4 linked regions of the Oryctolagus cuniculus genome follow. The protein of the gene in region 3 purifies or fractionates together with the protein of the main gene of each other region. This does not show direct contact. Links are inferred from orthologs where the notes say so. Each region holds a gene or a part of one and is shown on either strand. Other genes may lie near its edges. The genes, in order: HS2ST1, STX12, SLC7A1 and STX4.

Region 1 (4,645 bases), on a different chromosome or scaffold from region 3:
TTCCAGTAATTTCTAAAGCATCAAAAAGTCTAAAAAATGGAGTACTGGACTGGAATGTTAATTACAGAAGTTGGGGCCGGGTAACAAAAGTAAAAAGGCAGGATAGTTTCACATTCCTTGATGAAAGAAAAGCAGAGATGTTTATAGAGGCCTATGTACAGTCCTTAACTCCACCCACATCTGGGATACATCAGTTAAACCAGATCTCCCAGGAGAAAACTTTTCAGCAGGCTTAATGGAGAACACTTGACGAATTAAGACGAGCTAACAAACGTAAAAGCTCTCGCCAGTAAAATTTTATCCTTCATATAGCAACATACATTGCAAACTATGAGGAGTTAACCAAGATTTACTTGTTTCGTGCATGAAAATAAATCAAAATCAGGACTTCTCCTTTCCAAGATTAAGAACTCATCTATTTTGGTAATAGGAAAAAACGAAATAAAACTGCCAGATTTTAAACGGGATTACTGCTCGAGAGAGTTTAAAAAAAAAAAAAAACAACAGAAATCGTTAGCCAGGAGCGAACACTTGAGGGCTTTCCTCTCAGGGGAGCTCCATCATAAGGATACTCCCTAGCGTTTTTGTTGCTTGAAAAGTCTTCACTTCTTCCTAAGCCTTACTGCTTCCCCTCCCCGCAGTGTGATTCAGATTGTTTCAGCTAGAGTTAAGAGAAGCCCCCAAGACGGTCTGAAGTCAGAAGACGCCGCTAGCAAAATCAAAGCGAGGAAGGACAAGCAAGCATCAACCAAGGAATTAAGCCACGTCGCATTCCGGCAGCAGCAGTCACTGAGGAAACCCCATCTTCCGTCCTTTTCCAGCGTGGATCCCAAACAGGCTCGAATGTTCCTCCTCCTTCTCTGCAATCCTTCCTACCCGCCCCGGAGCAGCCACGGAGGAGATCCACACTCACCGCTTGAAGCACGGTGGCCAACAGCAACCGTAGCCCAAACGCCGGGCCCAGCCCTCCACCAGCCCCAGTCGCCATCGTTACCCTCTCGGCTCTGTCTCGGGCTGCCCAGAGGACCCCTCAGCTGGGGCGTCCACACTACAGCCTGATCCGTGACAGCCCGCTAAAGGCCGTTGCCACCGAAACTCTTGTTCTGAAGGGACGCGTGTTAACTCGGGGTATATGAAAACTTAAAGGTGATCAAATATCAAGACAGTCGCCGGGTGCTTTGGATTACCCAAATCAGGCACTTTTCTAAACTCCCCACTTCTGTGCTTCCCCGGGATCCTTTCATTCACGACATTTCGTCAGGCAGCCAGGAGGCCCCGCCTTCTCCAGTTTAAGCCCTGCCTCCGTCCCCAAGTTTACCCAATCGAATGCGGCCTTGATTGAGCCCTGTGGCGGAGGAAGCCAACCGTAAATCGAACCGAGGGCCAAGAGCAGGGACTCTTCGGACCAATAAGCACAACCGCGCAGGAGGACGGGGTGGGGCCTCTGGTTGCCGAGCAGCGTACGTGGATGCGTGCGCGTGGTGGCGGAGGGGGGATGGGCGGGGACTTGGCGGGGGCGGGGCCGAGGGCGGCGCAGCCGCAGCCGCAGCGCTGGTGTAGGAGCGCGCGGCCGCGAGCGAAGGAGGGAGGGAGGGAAGGAAGGAAGAGAGGGAGGCGGGCAGGCAGGCGGGCGCGGAGGTCGGGGATTGAGGCTGTGGAGGGAGGCGAGAGCCCGGCAGCCGCTTCGCGCAGGGTTTGCTGCGCGGGCTTTTGGAGGGGGCGGCCGTTGAGTCGGCTGACGAGAAGCGGGCACCGGCGGCGCTAGTGCTGGCGCCTGGGGGCGGGGGGACCGGAGAGGCGAGAAGGGGGGTCGCTGCGGTGGTGCTCTGGCTGTCGCGCTCTCCTTGCCTGGCTGCCGGCTCGGTGGGCTCCTCCCGGCGTTTCCCTCGCCTCTGGGGCCCCGCTCCCCGCCCTCCGCGGTATGTCTTGATCCCGAGCAGCGGGTTTCATGGGGCTCCTCAGGATTATGATGCCGCCCAAGTTGCAGCTGCTGGCGGTGGTGGCCTTCGCGGTGGCGATGCTCTTCTTGGAGAACCAGATCCAGAAGCTGGAGGAGTCCCTGTCGAAGCTAGGTGAGGAGCAGAGCCGCTCCGCGCTGAGTGCTGTGGACGGGGCTGGGCCGGGGGGCACTGCAGCCCGAGCAAGTGGGCGTTCGTGCAGCCCGGGGTCTGGTTCGCGGGCTGGGAGAGGTTTCCAAGAGAACACAAGCTCCTAGAATGGGGTGACTTGAGCTTGAGTGGCGTGCTGGACTCGCGAGGTCACGGGGCAGAGGTTGCAGGGCTGGGCTTCGCGGAGCCCCAGGGCTGCCCCCGAGTAGGCATTCCGGAGAGAGGGCGAGAGAAGCCCCAACTCAGAGGGAAGAGGTGGCCACGCTCAGCCTTGCTCGGGCAGAGCGCCTCGGCAGTGTCGGAGAGGGGTATTCCAGTTTCGTGTATGGGAACTCGGGCACAGCTTCTTTTGGAGGATGGGGGAGGACCGGTGGTCGTGCAGGAATATTGGTGCGCAGCAATGGAAGGAGGCGCCGGTAATGATGGGGAGGGGGCAGTCAGGGAAACAAGCTGCCGTGAGTTGCACTCCGGTCCCGGGGGAGCGAGGGACCGCCCCACAGGCGGTCGAGGTAGGCTGGCCAGGTAGGGCAGGCTAGCGAGGGAAGAGCTTCAGGGCAGTTCTGAACGAGGGTCCGGGGACTGCGATCTGTTTTAGTGGCGCCGAACTGGTTCATGTGGGCTCCAGAACAGGGATGTGCACGTATGTTGCTTCGCGGCAGCGTTGATGTGAATTTAGAAGAGGGAATGCCGAAGGGGAACTGTGTAGTGAGGTTTACTATTGGAAAGTAAGGTTACACGGTAAACATTTAAGTACCTTGAAGAGTTAACAGTGCTTTAATGGGCGAAGGAGTCTGAAGTGCAAAAAGTTGACGTGTGAAGTTGTGAAAGGACAGAAAAAAGCATAGATAATAGATTCTTTCGATTTAGTATGGAACTGGCATTTGGAAGGGCTCGGTGTGGAGAGCGAATAGTCAGAGAATGACAGTGACCAATTTTGAGTTAAAAATGCACATGGCACTTAAATCAGCTCAAGAGGCTGTCATTTGAATCTGGAAAGACAGTGCAAGGTAAGGGATTGCATGCACTTGCACCTCGGCACCCTTCTAGATACGTTTTGAGAAACAAGCAAACAAATCCCTTCAGCGATATTATTTAGACTAAAGAGTAACTTTGGGAAACAACTAAGTGCTGCTGTGCTGTTTAATTTTTAGGGAATAATTGCAGTTTTGTACGCAGTAGCTATAGCTAGCTGTTTCCAGAGACTTTGCAATTGTCTTGAAATTTTGAAGAGCAGTGTATCAAAGAGTATCTAATAAATATGATTGAAGTGCAGCTATGTTTGAGGGAAGATCAAAAGAGATACTAATCCTTACTAATGCTGGGGCAAAAATTTGAAAAGATATACAGTTTATTTACTCTAATTTTGTTACTGTGCCTTGTAAGATGGGAAAATGTTCACTTAAATAGTAAAGGTTGTCCAGTATACTTTTTCTTTTCATTTGAATCCATTCATCAGCATTCAGAATCATGTTCTGGTCACATTAATGATCCAGCTTTACAGAAAAAAATGATTCCTCATAGAGGAAGTTGGAAGTTGTATTAAAATTTGTACCTGTTGTTTATTGTATTGCTATTTGGAATTCTCTGGGGTTAATTTCTCCAGAACATCATGGTGGGGTTAGCATTGTTTACATTTTTTATTTTAATCATCTAAGTTTTTTTCTGTAACACTTGAAGGGGTTTCCATAGATACAACCTGAGCTTTTTTTTTTTTTTACAGTTATTTTAAGCTGTAGAAAGCCACAGGTAGAACATACTATGCTTTCTTGTAAATTTTTTGCAAACAAGGAAATTCCATCAGAAATAGAGTGCATTAGAATAAATAATTCCATTAGAAATAATAAATATATGTTAAAATGAATCTCAAAACTAATTCAAGGAAATTAATACCTCAAGTATGAAACTGGAAGTATTTTCATCTGGAAATGCAAAAGCATGGCAAGTAAAAATGTATAACTTTGTTTCTATTAGCAGTCATTTGATTTTCTTTTTAAAGTCTTGGAAAAGGCAAGGAATGATAAGAGAGAGATTGCCAGTTGGTAGTCTGACCTCTTAGGAAAGAAACGCAGGTGGCTTATTTTGACAATCAGACTCTATCCTAGGTGTTTTTCATCTATGATGCACCTATTTATCTTTCTAGAACACTATAGAAAGCTATTTTTGCAGTTGCAGGAACAGGCTCAGTGGTTATAGAACTTGTCTAAGACCACATCACTATTGGCAGAGCCAGCATTGGAATCCAGGTATGTTTGATTCCAAGTCAAGTGCTCCTTTAATTACACCCAGCTGCTTGAGACTTCATATTGACATTACACTAAGATTTAGCTATTTGAATAGAATTTTTAAATTGTAATATCAATGTTTAATTGCCTTTATTGCTAAGAATGAATATCATTCTAAGGAAATTCAATTTCAGACAAAAAGAAATTGGTTTAGTGTAATGTCTGCCCCCTGTTTATATTTTAATGAATATAATTATATTACCCGATAAAACCACTGAAATAGATAGCTTATTTCCACTAGAGGAAAAGAAAAAT
Region 2 (3,564 bases), on a different chromosome or scaffold from region 3:
TATTTAATAGCTACTAGCTTCCCAACTTTTATCTCCAGAAACTTGCACAATTACTCTTTTTTAAGCTTTTTATATGGAAATAATTTCAAGTTCATAAAAAGCTGTAAAAATAAAAATACTGCAAGGAACTCCTTTTAACCTTTACTTAGGTTTACTTTTTGTTAACATTCTATGTCATTTGCTTTTTTTTTTTTTTTTGACAGGCAGAGTGGACAGTGAGAGAGAGAGACAGAGAGAAAGGTCTTCCTTTTGCCGTTGGTTCACCCTCCAATGGCCGCCGCGGGTGGTGCGCTGCGGCCAGCGCACCGTGCTGATCCGAAGGCAGGAGCCAGGTGCTTCTCCTGGTCTCCCATGGGGTGCAGGGCCCAAGCACTTGGGCCATCCTCCACTGCACTCCCTGGCCACAGCAGAGAGCTGGCCTGGAAGAGGGGCAACCGGGACAGAATCCGGTGCCCTGACCGGAACTAGAACCCGGTGTGCCAGCGCCGCAAGGCGGAGGATCAGCCTAGTGAGCCGCGGCGCCGGCCGTCATTTGCTTTTTGATGTACTCTGTGTGTGTGTGTGTGTTTGCGTGCACACGGGCATATGCACGTACAAGTGAGAGCAAGACAGAGACAGAGAGAATGTATTCATATATACATAATTTTTCCTGAAGCATTTATGGATGAGTCCCTTGTCCCTAAATACTTCAGTGTTTATTTCTAAGAATAGGGCTATATTCTTATCCAGGTAGTAACTTCTGATTTCTTAACTGGGATAGTAATGAAACAGGAACCCATAACATCAGAAGTAGGTTCAGTTTTTAGCCTTGACACATCTGGGTGTGCTAAAATATGCATCATCCTTCTCTTTGCAGACAGCATAGAAGCCAATGTGGAAAGTTCAGAGGTGCACGTTGAAAGAGCAACTGATCAGTTACAGCGAGCTGCTTACTATCAGGTAAAAGCAAGAACCAAAGAAAGTCACTGTACTGCAGACTTCATGGGCCACCACAGTGCACTGACTCTGAGCACAGCCCAGCTTTTTGCTTAGGCTGAAGCTGGAGACAAGCAGTCATACTTGCAGGTCCAGTCCCAAGTATTTCCTTTGCAGGGAGATCTACAAAATGTCATCAGACCATGAATAAACATATACAGAAACCTCAGAGCTGCAAAACTAATAACCCCATAAGCTAGCATGAAACCTAGAATATAAATGGTGTAAGGCTAATCTTACATCCTAATCAGCTGAGATGTGCTTCCATTAGGATAGGAAGAAGTACAGTTAAAGCAGGGTTTCACAGGATTTATGTTGACTGTTGGCACAGAAGATGGACACAGACCACTTCAACTGTTATTTATATCTGAATAAGTAGAGCTTAGTCATACTGGAACTGTTCCTGCAAAGTAAAGTTCTACTTACTAGTTGAAACTGGTTTTATGATTTATCTGGGTCTCTATCTCAGTGTGAAAATACCGTGAACGTGAGGTCCTTCTCCTTTCCTCTCAGTTTGGTTTTCATGGCTTTTTGGAAGTCGTGTTTTAGTCATTTTCCATGTTCTTAGACTACCTGTTCTTAAAGAAATTGTGTTCAATAATAATTTTACCTTTATAAACTACATGATGTCTTTAGTGTCTAATGGTAAGGAATAATTTTATATACATCCACTTGGTATTATATGATGTGAGGATTTAGTTATATTTATGAAAAAATTGTATTAACAAAGATGCTTATATAAAACATTAAGTGAGAAAAAATCAAACATCATACAGTATGTATGCAAATGACAGTATGCATAGATAAAAGATCAGGAGTTACAATCAAAACATCAACAGTTTGATCTATGGGTGATTATTTTTCTGCTTGCCTTTTTTTTCCCAATGCATATTAAATTTTATAATAGGTATAAACTTACTAAAATACATATGACAAATATTATTATTTTTTCAAGATTTATCTGTTTGAAAGGCAGAGTTACAGAGTGTCAGGGAGAGACACAGAGAGAGAACTCTTCATCCATTTGTTCACTCTCCAAATGGCTGAAACTGAAGCCAAAAGCCAGAAGCCTCTTACAAGTCTCCCAATGTGGGTGCAGGGGTCCAAGTACTTGGGCCATCTTCTGCTGCCTTCCCAGGCAAATTAGCAGGGGGCTGGATTGGAAGTGGATCAGTGGGGACTCAAACCAGCACCCATATGGGATGCCAGTGTCAGCAGGTGGCAGCTTTACCTGCTATGCCACAACATTGTCCCCTCCCCCTTTAAAGATTTATTTATTTGAAATGTAGAGTTACAGAGAGGCAGAGGCAGAAAGAGAGAGAGAATGAATGAATGAGTCTTCTGTCCGCTGGTTCACTCCCTAAATGGCCATAATGGCCGGAGCTGGGCTGATCTGAAGCCAGGAGCCATGAGTTTCTTCCAGGTCTCCCACGTGGGTGCAGGGGCCTAAACATTTGGGCCATTTCTGCTGGTTTTCCAGGTGCATTTGCAGGGAGCTGGATTGGAAGTGGAGCAGCCGGGACTTGAACCAGCGCCCATATGGGATGCTGGCACTGCAGGCAGCACCTTTATCCGCTACGCCACAGCTCCAGCCCCAATAGCATTATTTTTATAAATAATTTCTATCATAATAGGTATGTCTCCTTTGCAAAACTGTATTTAAGGACCTAGAATTAAAACTTACACTGCTGCCTAGTGCTAGTGCTGATGACTGTTGAGATTTTGTGAATGTTCTCTGCCTATTTGTGCATGCATAGAGTTAATTTTGTATTACAAGGAGGCAGATTTATGAAGCACTCTTGGAGTCTTAGATATTAAAACTTTTGTTTCATGAGTGTCTTCTTCACATATTTCTTTCCCCAGAAAAAATCTCGCAAGAAGATGTGCATCCTGGTGCTTGTCCTGTCTGTGATTATTGCAGTCTTGATAATTGTTTTCTGGGTAGTGTATGGGAAATGAAGTGTGGTTGCCTCAAAGCCTTCTCCTGCTGAACTGTTTTCAAGGGCAAGTGCTGGTTGGAGTCTTGCCAGAACAAACTGATCACAAGAGGAGTGCACATACCAGAACGTCCTGTAACAATTTAGTTAGAAACTAACTACTAACTAGTCCTTGGAATTAGTGACCCATGGAGACAGTATTTATCAATATATGTATACATTTTATTGGTTTCTCCAATTAGGAATTAATTTATGTGGATTTTGCTTTCTCTTGTATTCTGATTGCCCTGTATCCCAAAAGTTTATTGAAAATTCCATTCTAGGTATTCTTTTTTGACAGGCAACACTACAGACTCGTAATATTGTCTTTTTATGTGTATACAAAATTTACCTTTTTCCTAGCAACTAACATGAATTGCTTTCTGGCGCCCAGCATAATTGGAGTATGTCAGAAACTGTATAATAGGCCAGGAATTTTTATTATTTAATATTTTAATTTGAATTTCTAAGAAGCTTATTCTCTGTTTTGCAAAATTTTGGCACTATATTTAACTGGAAAGTAAAAATTGCACATGTGATTTAAGATTTAATGAAAAGTATCTATTCGAGCTGATCAGTTGTTCGGGTACATGTTCCTAATCTGGGTTTAAAG
Region 3 (4,369 bases):
TCCCTACTTCATAAACTGCTAGGCTAGTTTCAAGGGCAGAAAACAGCCAGCTGCTGACCCAGGAGCCCCATTACTGAGCAAGGGCTTGGTGGTGCTGGTGGTGGCTGGGGCGGGTGGGAGGTGTGGAAAGGCTTTAAAGCAGGCAGATACCATCCGCCCTTGTCCTTTCTGTTTCCTTAGAAATATGGGGGAGCGCGGTGGTCATCTACCACTTACTCAATGTCACAGATTACTGGATCTTCACAGGTTGTGTTTCTTGGTTTCTGGAGCAAAGACAGACAACTGCACGGGAGCTCATGGCACCAACACTGTGGGATTCAGGACCACCGCTCTTGGCAACACTGGGAGAGTGACTGGGAAGGCAGCTGAGGCCATTAGCCCACCAGCCTGCTGTGCAGGTGCCTGGCAACAGGTGGATTAGGCCTTCACCGACAGCAGGGAGATAAGGTTCTAGCATGGGCAAGGGGACGATAATAAAATAATACCATGAGAGAGAAATGAAAATCTATAGTAACTTCAAAAAAATTTTTTAAAAATACTTATTTGAAAGAGAGACAGACAGACATACAGACATAGATAGATAAAGCTTCCATCCGCTGGTTCACTCCCCAAATGGCCACAACTGCTAGGACTGAGCCAGGCTGAAGCCAGGAACCAGGAGCTTCTTCTGGGTCTTGCACATGGGTGCAGGGGCTCAAGCGCTTGGGCCATCTGCTGCTTTCCCAGGCCATAGCAGAGAGCTGGATGGGAAGCCGGGACTCGAACCCGCGTCCATATGGGATGCCAGCACCACAGGCAGGGGCTTCACCCGCTACATCACAGCGCCGGCCCCAGTAACTAACTTTCTAAAACCCTCATAGTGCATCCCAGATCTTTTTATTTCGGATAAGGAAGACCAGCGGCGTCTGCTGACTGCAGCTCGCTAAGCCAGGGCTGGCGCGGCCCGGCCTGCTGCCCTGAGTCCCGGCCCGCGCGCGGCGGGGCCCGCAGGGAACCCAAGGATGCTGTCGCGCCGCGGGCTCCGATTGGCGGACAGGCGGCCAGGCCCGCAAGGCAGCCGCGGGAGCGTCCGGAGGCGCCGCCCGCCTGCCGGCCGGGGGAACCCCGGGTCCCCGCCGCAGCGCGCGCGAAGACGCCGCCGCCCCGCCCACACGGGCGCGCCCGCCTCTGCCGCCGCCTCAGGGCCAGCGGCCGCCGCCGCGCCGCGCTGCCATTGGTGCCCGGCTGTGACGCGAGGCACGGGCAGGGCCGCCGGGCGGGCTGGGGGGCGGGCGGCGAGAGCGGCTGATGAAACCGGCGCCGGATCCCGCCCGCCCTCGGCGCCCCATTCAGTCAGCGCGGGCAGGTGCGAGCGGCCAGTCAGCAGCCGGGCGGCGCGGCACGCGGCCGGCAGGCACGCGCTCACCGCAGCTCCACGTCGCTCCCGCGCCTCCGCACCGCCTCTCCGGCCGAGGGTCCCCGGGTCGGTGCGTGCAAGCGTGCGTGCGTCCTTCGGCCCGCTGTCCTGCCCGCATCCCACCGCCCGCTTGGTGAGTGCCCGCTCCCGCTGGCACCGGGGCAGCTCCACAACCTGGGTCACCTTGGCGGGGGTTGGAGGGGGCCGCGGGGCCGCGTGGGGCCTCGGGCAGGCGGCGGCACGGGAGTGGCGAGAGCCCCGCTCCGGGGCGCCGCTGGCATCCTCCGGGGAGGGCGAGGGCAGGGCGGGCCCGGGGGTGTGCGCGCGGGGCGGTGCCCATGCGGCCGTGGCTTCCACGGAGTCCATTTCGGTTCCCTAAAGGCACGGCGTGGTGTATGATGCAACACCGCCCGAGTCAGCGTGGGCGCGCCGGCGATGCCCACCCCGCGCGCCGGCCACGCACCTGGTGGTCCGGGTGGGCAAGGGGCCGGCGGTGGGCACGGGGGCTGGTCCAGGAGGCGTCCGGAGCCCGCTGGCAGCGCGGGAGAGCTTCCCTTACATGGCGCGTTGCGGAGCACCCCGCCCCGCCACGAGGTCCGAGGATGTGTCATCGGCCGCCGCGGGGACCCCGCCCGCGCCCCGGGAGGGTGGTCCCGCGGCAGGTACGTTGGCTAGCCTGGGAAACGGCGCTGGGCAGCCCTGCTCGGTGGTCGCGGTGCGCGCCTGCCCATTCCATGAGACCCCCAGAATGCCCGCCTGCACCCGTAGTCTGGGTCCCCAGGGGTTTCTTGGGGACGTCCTCCTTTGGGTGGGCTTCCTGGTGACCCGGCTTGGCCCTAAAACTCTGGGCTGGCCAAGCCGTCCAGATGGTTCGCAGGAGGAGGAAGTTCTTCCGGCTTCGTTAGGACAACCTATTCTCCGCGTGTTCCTCTCTGCGTAGTAGAAAACTTCCTGGGCACGGGCAGGTCAAGGCGGCCGTCCCGCGCGCGCCGCTGGCCGGCTCGCCGCGCTGTTCCCCGGGTAGGGGGGAGGCGTGGGAGCCAGATCGGAGTTGCGTGCGTCTTGAGCGGGTAGGCGAGCCAGACATGTGAACCAGACTACACTTCCCAACACCCACGGCCGTGCTGTCACGTGCTGGCTTGTGTTCCAGACCCGAGTCTCGGGCGTGGGGTAGGGGTGGGGGGTTGCGATCTTCGTCCCTGGTGGGTACCCCCGCCACCCCCTTCAGAATGTGCCCCTTAAAAGCTGGCTGGTGGGACTGTGTCTGACAGCCTGCAGCCGGGAGCCGTCACTATGTTGAATTCGGGTTATAATTTATTAGGGATTTATCTCAACGTTTATGTTTCAGTCAGATAATAGGAAACTGTGGTGCACGTATTCGCCCTGGTATTTTCAGTTGTTCTCAGTGGAAATTACCACGATTCTTATGCGAACCCGCCTTTCTGGCAGGAAAAAAAAAAGGTCTTGTCTTGAGCCCCAGTAAGAAGAGAAACTTACTGGAAAGATCCACAGTGAAGAAAATCGTTCTTAAAGCTTCCTTGTTGACTAACATTCAAAGGATGTCAAAGGAACTTTGAGTAAACGAACGGGAAAAGGCTCAGTAAGTAGGGAGAGGGGGTGGTCTCAGCTGCCTGAGTCGGAGCCACGTGGCTTCTGTTTAGGCATATGACCATTTGCTGGAGGGGGAAAAAAGGCTTGAAAGGCAAGATTGTTGACCTCAGGGAGTTTGAGTTGAGACACAGGTTTAATTCTGTTTGGTACAAAATTTCATTCTCTGAAGGAAGCAAGTAAATGCTTATTGATTGTTCAGGTCTGTAACTTCTCTTTCCTGAATCCAGCAGAACTAGGTCATTAAGTCGGGGGTCCCAGCGTTATGTCTTATATGAATGCTTTCTGTTGATTGACAGTGTATTTAGAGATGCTGCTTGTTAACCCTAAAAGGAGGAATTTGAGACATGACTCAATGCATTCTTGTTAGGGAAAGAAACTTGTTTCATCTTTGACTGACACGTCCGAATCGTACATTGTCGGGTCCTGGTGTGATGTTTGGGTGCGTATGTCATTGTGTGATGTTGCAGCCGGGGGAACTAGGCTATCTATCGCTTTAAACGTTTGTCGTGTTTTTGTGCTGAGAGTGTTCACAATCTTGGCGAAAAATTTACTTCCTTTAACCCGGGAGATGCCTTGGCCTCTGTGTCATCTTACCCAGAGGCATCTTCTGGGTGACTGTGAAAGGTGCGCCCACAGGACTGGCCTGGGGCTTTAGGTGAGTGGTAAGAGAGGTGAAATAGATTTCCACACTGCACAGCCGGAGTTTTTTTTTTTTTTTTTTTTAAGATTTTATTTATTTATTAGAGAGGTAGAGTTACAGAGAGAGGGAAAGACAGAGGGAGAGGTCTTCCATCTGCTGGTTCACTTCCCAGATGGCCCCAATGGCTGGAGTTGGCAGCGATCCGAAGCCAGGAGCCAGGGGCTTCTTCCGGGTCTCCCGTGTGGGTACAGAGGCCCAGGCACTTGGGCCATCCTCCACTGCCTTCCTGGGCCACAGCAGAGAGCTAGACACGAACTGGCATCCATATGGGATGCTGGCACTGCAGGTGAAGGCTTAGCCTGCTATGCCACAGCCATAGCACAGGCCCTGTTAATGGATTAAGGATAGAGACTGGCGGAGGCTTAGCCTACTATGCCACAGTGCTGGCCCTGGAGTCACAACCTTAAGGAGATGAGAAGGTTGAGCATGTTAGGTTTAAGATGGACTATTGTTGTTTCTTAAGATTTTATTTATTTGAAAGGCAGAGTGACAGAGATCCTCTATTTGCTGGTTCACTCCCTAAATAGCCTCAACGGTTGGGGTAAGGCCAGACTGAAGCCAGGAGCCAGGAGCTCCTTCTGGGCTTCCCAGGTGAGTGGCAGGGACTTAGCTACTGAGGCCATCATCTGCTGCCTCCCGGGCGCATCAGCAGGGAGCTGGGT
Region 4 (4,637 bases), on a different chromosome or scaffold from region 3:
GACCCACATTTGAAAGAGCCCAAGAAGGGGCCGGGGATCCCTCGACCTTTCCACACCTTTCCTTTCTTTCTTTTTTTTTTAAGATTTATTTATTTTACTTGAAAGTCAGAGTTACACAGACAGAGCAGGAGAGGCAGAGAGAGAGAGGTCTTCCATCCGCTGGTTCACTCCCCAATTGGCTGCAACGGCTAGAGCTGCACCAATCCAAAGCCAGGAGCCAGGAGCTTCTTCTGGGTCTCCCACGCGGGTGCAGGGGCCCAAGGCCTTGGGCCATCTTCTATTGCTTTCCCAGGCCATAGCAGAGAGCTGGATAGAAAGTGGAGCAGCCAGGTCTTGAACTGGCACCCATATGGTACGGCAGCACTGCAGGCAGCTGCTTTACCCACACCCTTTCTAACCTCACCTGATAACGTGCAATGCTTATCTTACTCAAAGCAGAAATGAGCAGATCAAGTTATCAAATGGGGAAGCTGAGTCCCAGACGGGAGCAACGAACCATTCATTCAAGCCCATGTGCTGGTTTGGGAGCCAAAAGATGTCTGAAAGCTCTAGGACTGTACCACTCAGAGACAGGGTCTGGGGGGAGGCGGGGACAAGGGGGCATCAACTGCAGGATGCAAGAGCAGAGCGATGCTTCCCCCCACGGTCTCCAGTGGACCCCACTGGCAGGGTGTTCGCCCCCTCACCCCGGGAAAAGCCCCCCACCACTGCGTTTCTTCTGTGGGCTGCTCAGGGCAGCACCGCTCTCTCACACCCTCATTCCCAGCCCCAGGCCAGCAGGGGTCTCAAGGGGAGCGGAGCATCCACAGCCCCTCACACAGACTAAGACACCACTGAGCAGTTTTCCACCTCACTGTCGCTGAACTTGAGAGCACGGACTACCCATAGAGATCATCTCCCCATCCCCCTAGTGCCACCCAATGTACAGATGGAAGATCAAGGCCGGGAACCAAGAAGTGGCCTTGCAGTGGTGTGTCCGTAGCAACTCAGTTCCAGGAAGCAAGACTCCACTTGAACCTTCCGGGGGTCCGGTTACTCACTCCTGGCCGGGCTGAGACTCTCTGAACGACTTTGGGGAGTGCAAATGCCACTAGTACTAGTTAGACCTGCTCTATCTGCAGTCTGTAGGAATCCACCTGGCTCATGGAACGCACCCAGTAAACTATGTATAAATGAAGGAACGTTTGGCGGCTAGGGAAGTGGCAAGGGGAGCCAGCCTGCAGCTTAAGGACCAGGGGACAGGGGCTTTCTCTTCAGATCCACGAAAGCCTAAAACTCTACCATGTTCATGCAGGGCTCATTTTGCGGTAGGCACTGAACTAGGCGCTGGGGGGATCAATGAAAAACAAGGCGGTCTTGCCCTGCCTTAGGTGGGTAGGGGCTGGGGTATTTAAGGGCCGGAGAAGCAGGCGGCTGCACACACTACACTTTCCCCAGCCTGCGCCGCGCTGAGATGGTCTCAGTGCCCGGAAGGCGGTGAGCACAGCGGGGCTGCAGCGCCGGCCGCCCACCGGTCACAGGCTGCGTGCAGGAGAGATTTCTGCTCTGAGGTCACAACCCCACCCCCAGATTCCCTGCCGACAAAACCCTGCAATTCTCTGACGCTGAAGACTCGGCTCGGATTCTTTTTCTGATTTTTCAAGGTCCCACGATGCCGACAGCCCCGAATCCTAAGCCGTCAGTCTGCCCACGCCCCCTGGAGCCAAAAGCAAGAAAGGAGGAATCTGCAAGGGTCCCCGCCACCCCTCTGACTCAAAAGCTCTCTGGGGGTAGTCAGCGCCCCCGCTCCTCCTCGTGGGGTCTGTGGGGGCGTAACTCAGATGCCGGGGACGTCGTGAGGAGAAGGGTGTCCCAGAGTCGGCGTTGACAGAGCCGGGACACGTGACAGCCAAAGCCTCCCGTTCTGCGGTCTCCGCGGCCGGGCAGGTCACGTGACGTGGAGCAGGGCGGGGGGGAGCTCATGGGGTGATGTGAGATGCGGGTCTCTGCGATTACGTACTCGTGACGCATTGCCACCCGCTTTTGGCTGCCAGATTTCCGTTCAAAGAGGCGACGGTTCCGGACTAGGGGGCGGGTTCTCACGTCCAGGCACTTTCGCTTCCGTTCGGGGCAGAGCCGCTTCCGAGCCCCGCCTTTCCCTCGGGCGAGGAAGAGACGCCACCTCGTGCGCATGCCCGGAATTGTCTCAGAGGGGCGGGGCTGAGGCTCAGGGAGCAGGAGGGGGGCAAGAGAAGGGAATTCCAACCTGTGGAACTTTGGGGGTCCCGGAGGTCGGCTGCTTGCCCTTGACTGTGGCTTGTGCATGGGGCTGAGCCTCCGGCGGCTCGTGGGGGCGTTGGGGCCCGCGGGGCGAGGCAGGGGAGTGTCGCAGTGTAAGTGGGGTACGGGAATTCCAAACTTAGAACCTTGAGGCCCTCGGGGCTCCGGCGCCGGGAGGAGGGAGCTCGGGCCGCCATGCGAGACAGGACCCACGAGCTGAGGCAGGTGAGATGTCGGGACAGCAGGGTCGGGGATGGACGGGCGGGCTGGAATGCAGGACTCCCAGGGTAGGGAGGGGTGGTTGGGGGCCAGGAAGGAAAGTCCCGGAAGCCTGTGGATCGTTCGGGAGCGAGAGCCGCCGCGAGGAAGTGGTGCCAGTGACTGTGGCCCTGGCAGGGGGATGACAGCTCGGACGAGGAGGACAAGGAGCGGGTCGCGCTGGTGGTGCACCCGGGCACGGCCCGGCTGGGAAGCCCGGACGATGAGTTCTTCCAGAAGGTAAGGGGGCTGGGGTCTGCAGCCTGGACGTGCGAGGGGGCGGGCGGACTGAGGGCCAGCGCGGGCTGGAGTGCCCCAAATTTCAGCCCCTCTCGGTCGCCCTCCCCAGGTCCGGACAATTCGGCAGACTATCGTCAAGCTGGAGAATAAAGTCCGGGAGCTGGAGAAGCAGCAGGTCACCATCCTGGCCACGCCCCTTCCCGAGGAGAGTGAGTGAAACCCCGGGTCGCAGGACGCATGCGCTACCCGAGGGATTGTGGGGGTTGTAGTTCCACGCAGGTGGTGGCCCCGGGGTGGTTTGCTGAGGCAGGGGCTCCCCCAGGAAGTTGTGGTCTTTTCTTGTTCAGGCATGAAACAGGACCTGCAGAACCTGCGCGACGAGATCAAACAGTTGGGAAGGGAGATCCGCACGCAGCTCAAGGGTGAGCTCCTAGGAAGGCGGGCAGATTCTTCCTCTGATCCTACTGATCTGATCCTGGGATAAGTGGAGAGTGTGTGGCCCAGAGAGGCAAGTGATATATGTAGGTCACACAGCAGGCCTGTGTTTAAAAAAATATATATCTGTCTGTTGGCTTCCACGCCGTGTTCCACAGCCCGTGCCTTTATTTACGATGAAACTGTTGAGTCCTGTAGTTCTTGGTGCCTGTCCAGCGTGCGTTCTTTGCAAAGGCAGATGGGGTTCTGCATACCTGTGGGAGCTCACTGATAGAATTCAAAGAGAAATAAACTTTCTCCTGTCAGAGGCTTAGCATGGGTCATTTTACAATGAAGCTGCGTTTCCCTTACAAATCACGTGGAGACAGGTCCCTCCTCATTGTGTGGCTGGGGGAGGGACCCTGTTCTTGTGCCCTGGTCCCCGGTTTCCAGAAATCACGAGTCAACACGCCCCTACCTCCTCCCTTCCTGCCTTGTGTCTTCCCGCAGCCATCGAGCCCCAGAAGGAAGAAGCTGATGAGAATTATAACTCGGTCAACACAAGGATGAGAAAGACTCAGGTGGGTTTGCTTCTCCTAGAACCAGGGCATTTTCCTAAGTGTTTGATCAATCGCGAGACGACAGATGTCTGTTGAAGGCAAGGCCCTTGGAGACCACAGGCCCCAACCCTTCTTCAAAGGGGCAAACAGGCGTGGAAGAAGATTCTCACTCAAGGTCAAGAACGCAGGTGTCCTAATTCCCAGTCCCTTGCACCCCCTGCTTTCTTCTCCTCTCCATGAGGAGCTGCTGTCCCCCAGGGTGTGACCCAGCCTTGGCTGTTTCCTCGGGAACCAAGATGGGAGCTTGAGTTGAGTAGGGGACAAAAGACATTACTCATGCAGGCGTTGGTGGCTAATGGCTCTTCAGGGAAGGAGTTGGAGAAGTCACAAGTGCCTGGTCAGTTTCCTGCCTATGTGACTGGGCCATCCTCGGCCTGCAGGCAGAATTGGAGAAGTCAGGAATAGGAAGTGCCCTGGGCGGGGACATCTTAGTAAGGAGTTTTCAGGTCATCTGACTGCTGTCCCTGGCGCCCAGCGAGGAGTGGTTTGGGGGTTCTCGGAGGTCAGGGTTGTTGTAGGTTGGGCCCAGAGCTCAAAAAGACCCCAGATGGAAAATGAAGATGGTTGAGGGGCAGCTGTTGGCCAGGAGAGCAGGTGTGTCTCTCAGGGAGGGTCTTGGAGGAATGAGCAGAGTGGAGCCCTCAGGAGAAGGAATAAGGTGGGACAGAGGCTCCAGATGGGGCATTGAAGGGGTTGCCTGTGGTGGCCATGGGTGTGAGAGGCCCAGACAGACCTGTCGCATGTAGCGGCCTGGTGACGTCTGCGCATGCGTGCACAGCACGCTTGCCGTCGACGCAGCCGCGCTGGCTGGCATTTGGCTGGTCTGCCTTCAGTGATGACTGTGCG

What was found.
Region 1: the proteins of SLC7A1 (region 3) and HS2ST1 purify together in Homo sapiens (co-immunoprecipitation; 3 studies listed by BioGRID and IntAct, counting the BioPlex papers as one, with this or other methods). This does not show direct contact. The link is inferred for Oryctolagus cuniculus from reciprocal best matches to the Homo sapiens genes SLC7A1 and HS2ST1.
Region 2: the proteins of SLC7A1 (region 3) and STX12 purify together in Homo sapiens (co-immunoprecipitation; 3 studies listed by BioGRID and IntAct, counting the BioPlex papers as one, with this or other methods). This does not show direct contact. The link is inferred for Oryctolagus cuniculus from reciprocal best matches to the Homo sapiens genes SLC7A1 and STX12.
Region 4: the proteins of SLC7A1 (region 3) and STX4 purify together in Homo sapiens (co-immunoprecipitation; 3 studies listed by BioGRID and IntAct, counting the BioPlex papers as one, with this or other methods). This does not show direct contact. The link is inferred for Oryctolagus cuniculus from reciprocal best matches to the Homo sapiens genes SLC7A1 and STX4.

What each region holds. Positions count from the first base shown.
Region 1 is NC_091438.1:84,223,113-84,227,757, reverse strand, and holds the start of HS2ST1 (heparan sulfate 2-O-sulfotransferase 1), read left to right. Parts: upstream 1-1,530; 5' UTR 1,531-1,948; coding exon 1,949-2,072; intron 2,073-4,645. UniProt on the Homo sapiens protein: Catalyzes the transfer of a sulfo group from 3'-phospho-5'-adenylyl sulfate (PAPS) to the 2-OH position of iduronic acid (IdoA) or glucuronic acid (GlcA) within the heparan sulfate (HS) chain and participates in HS biosynthesis.
Region 2 is NC_091438.1:143,809,138-143,812,701, reverse strand, and holds the end of STX12 (syntaxin-12), read left to right. Parts: intron 1-856; coding exon 857-939; intron 940-2,455; coding exon 2,456-2,590; 3' UTR 2,591-2,809; downstream 2,810-3,564. UniProt on the Homo sapiens protein: SNARE promoting fusion of transport vesicles with target membranes. Together with SNARE STX6, promotes movement of vesicles from endosomes to the cell membrane, and may therefore function in the endocytic recycling pathway.
Region 3 is NC_091440.1:84,977,034-84,981,402, forward strand, and holds the start of SLC7A1 (high affinity cationic amino acid transporter 1), read left to right. Parts: upstream 1-1,390; 5' UTR 1,391-1,529; intron 1,530-2,035; exon of another isoform or gene 2,036-2,058; intron 2,059-4,369. UniProt on the Homo sapiens protein: High-affinity, low capacity permease involved in the transport of the cationic amino acids (arginine, lysine and ornithine) in non-hepatic tissues.
Region 4 is NC_091450.1:6,132,144-6,136,780, reverse strand, and holds the start of STX4 (syntaxin-4), read left to right. Parts: upstream 1-1,591; 5' UTR 1,592-2,454; coding exon 2,455-2,484; intron 2,485-2,655; coding exon 2,656-2,757; intron 2,758-2,866; coding exon 2,867-2,966; intron 2,967-3,104; coding exon 3,105-3,179; intron 3,180-3,681; coding exon 3,682-3,752; intron 3,753-4,637. UniProt on the Homo sapiens protein: Plasma membrane t-SNARE that mediates docking of transport vesicles. Necessary for the translocation of SLC2A4 from intracellular vesicles to the plasma membrane.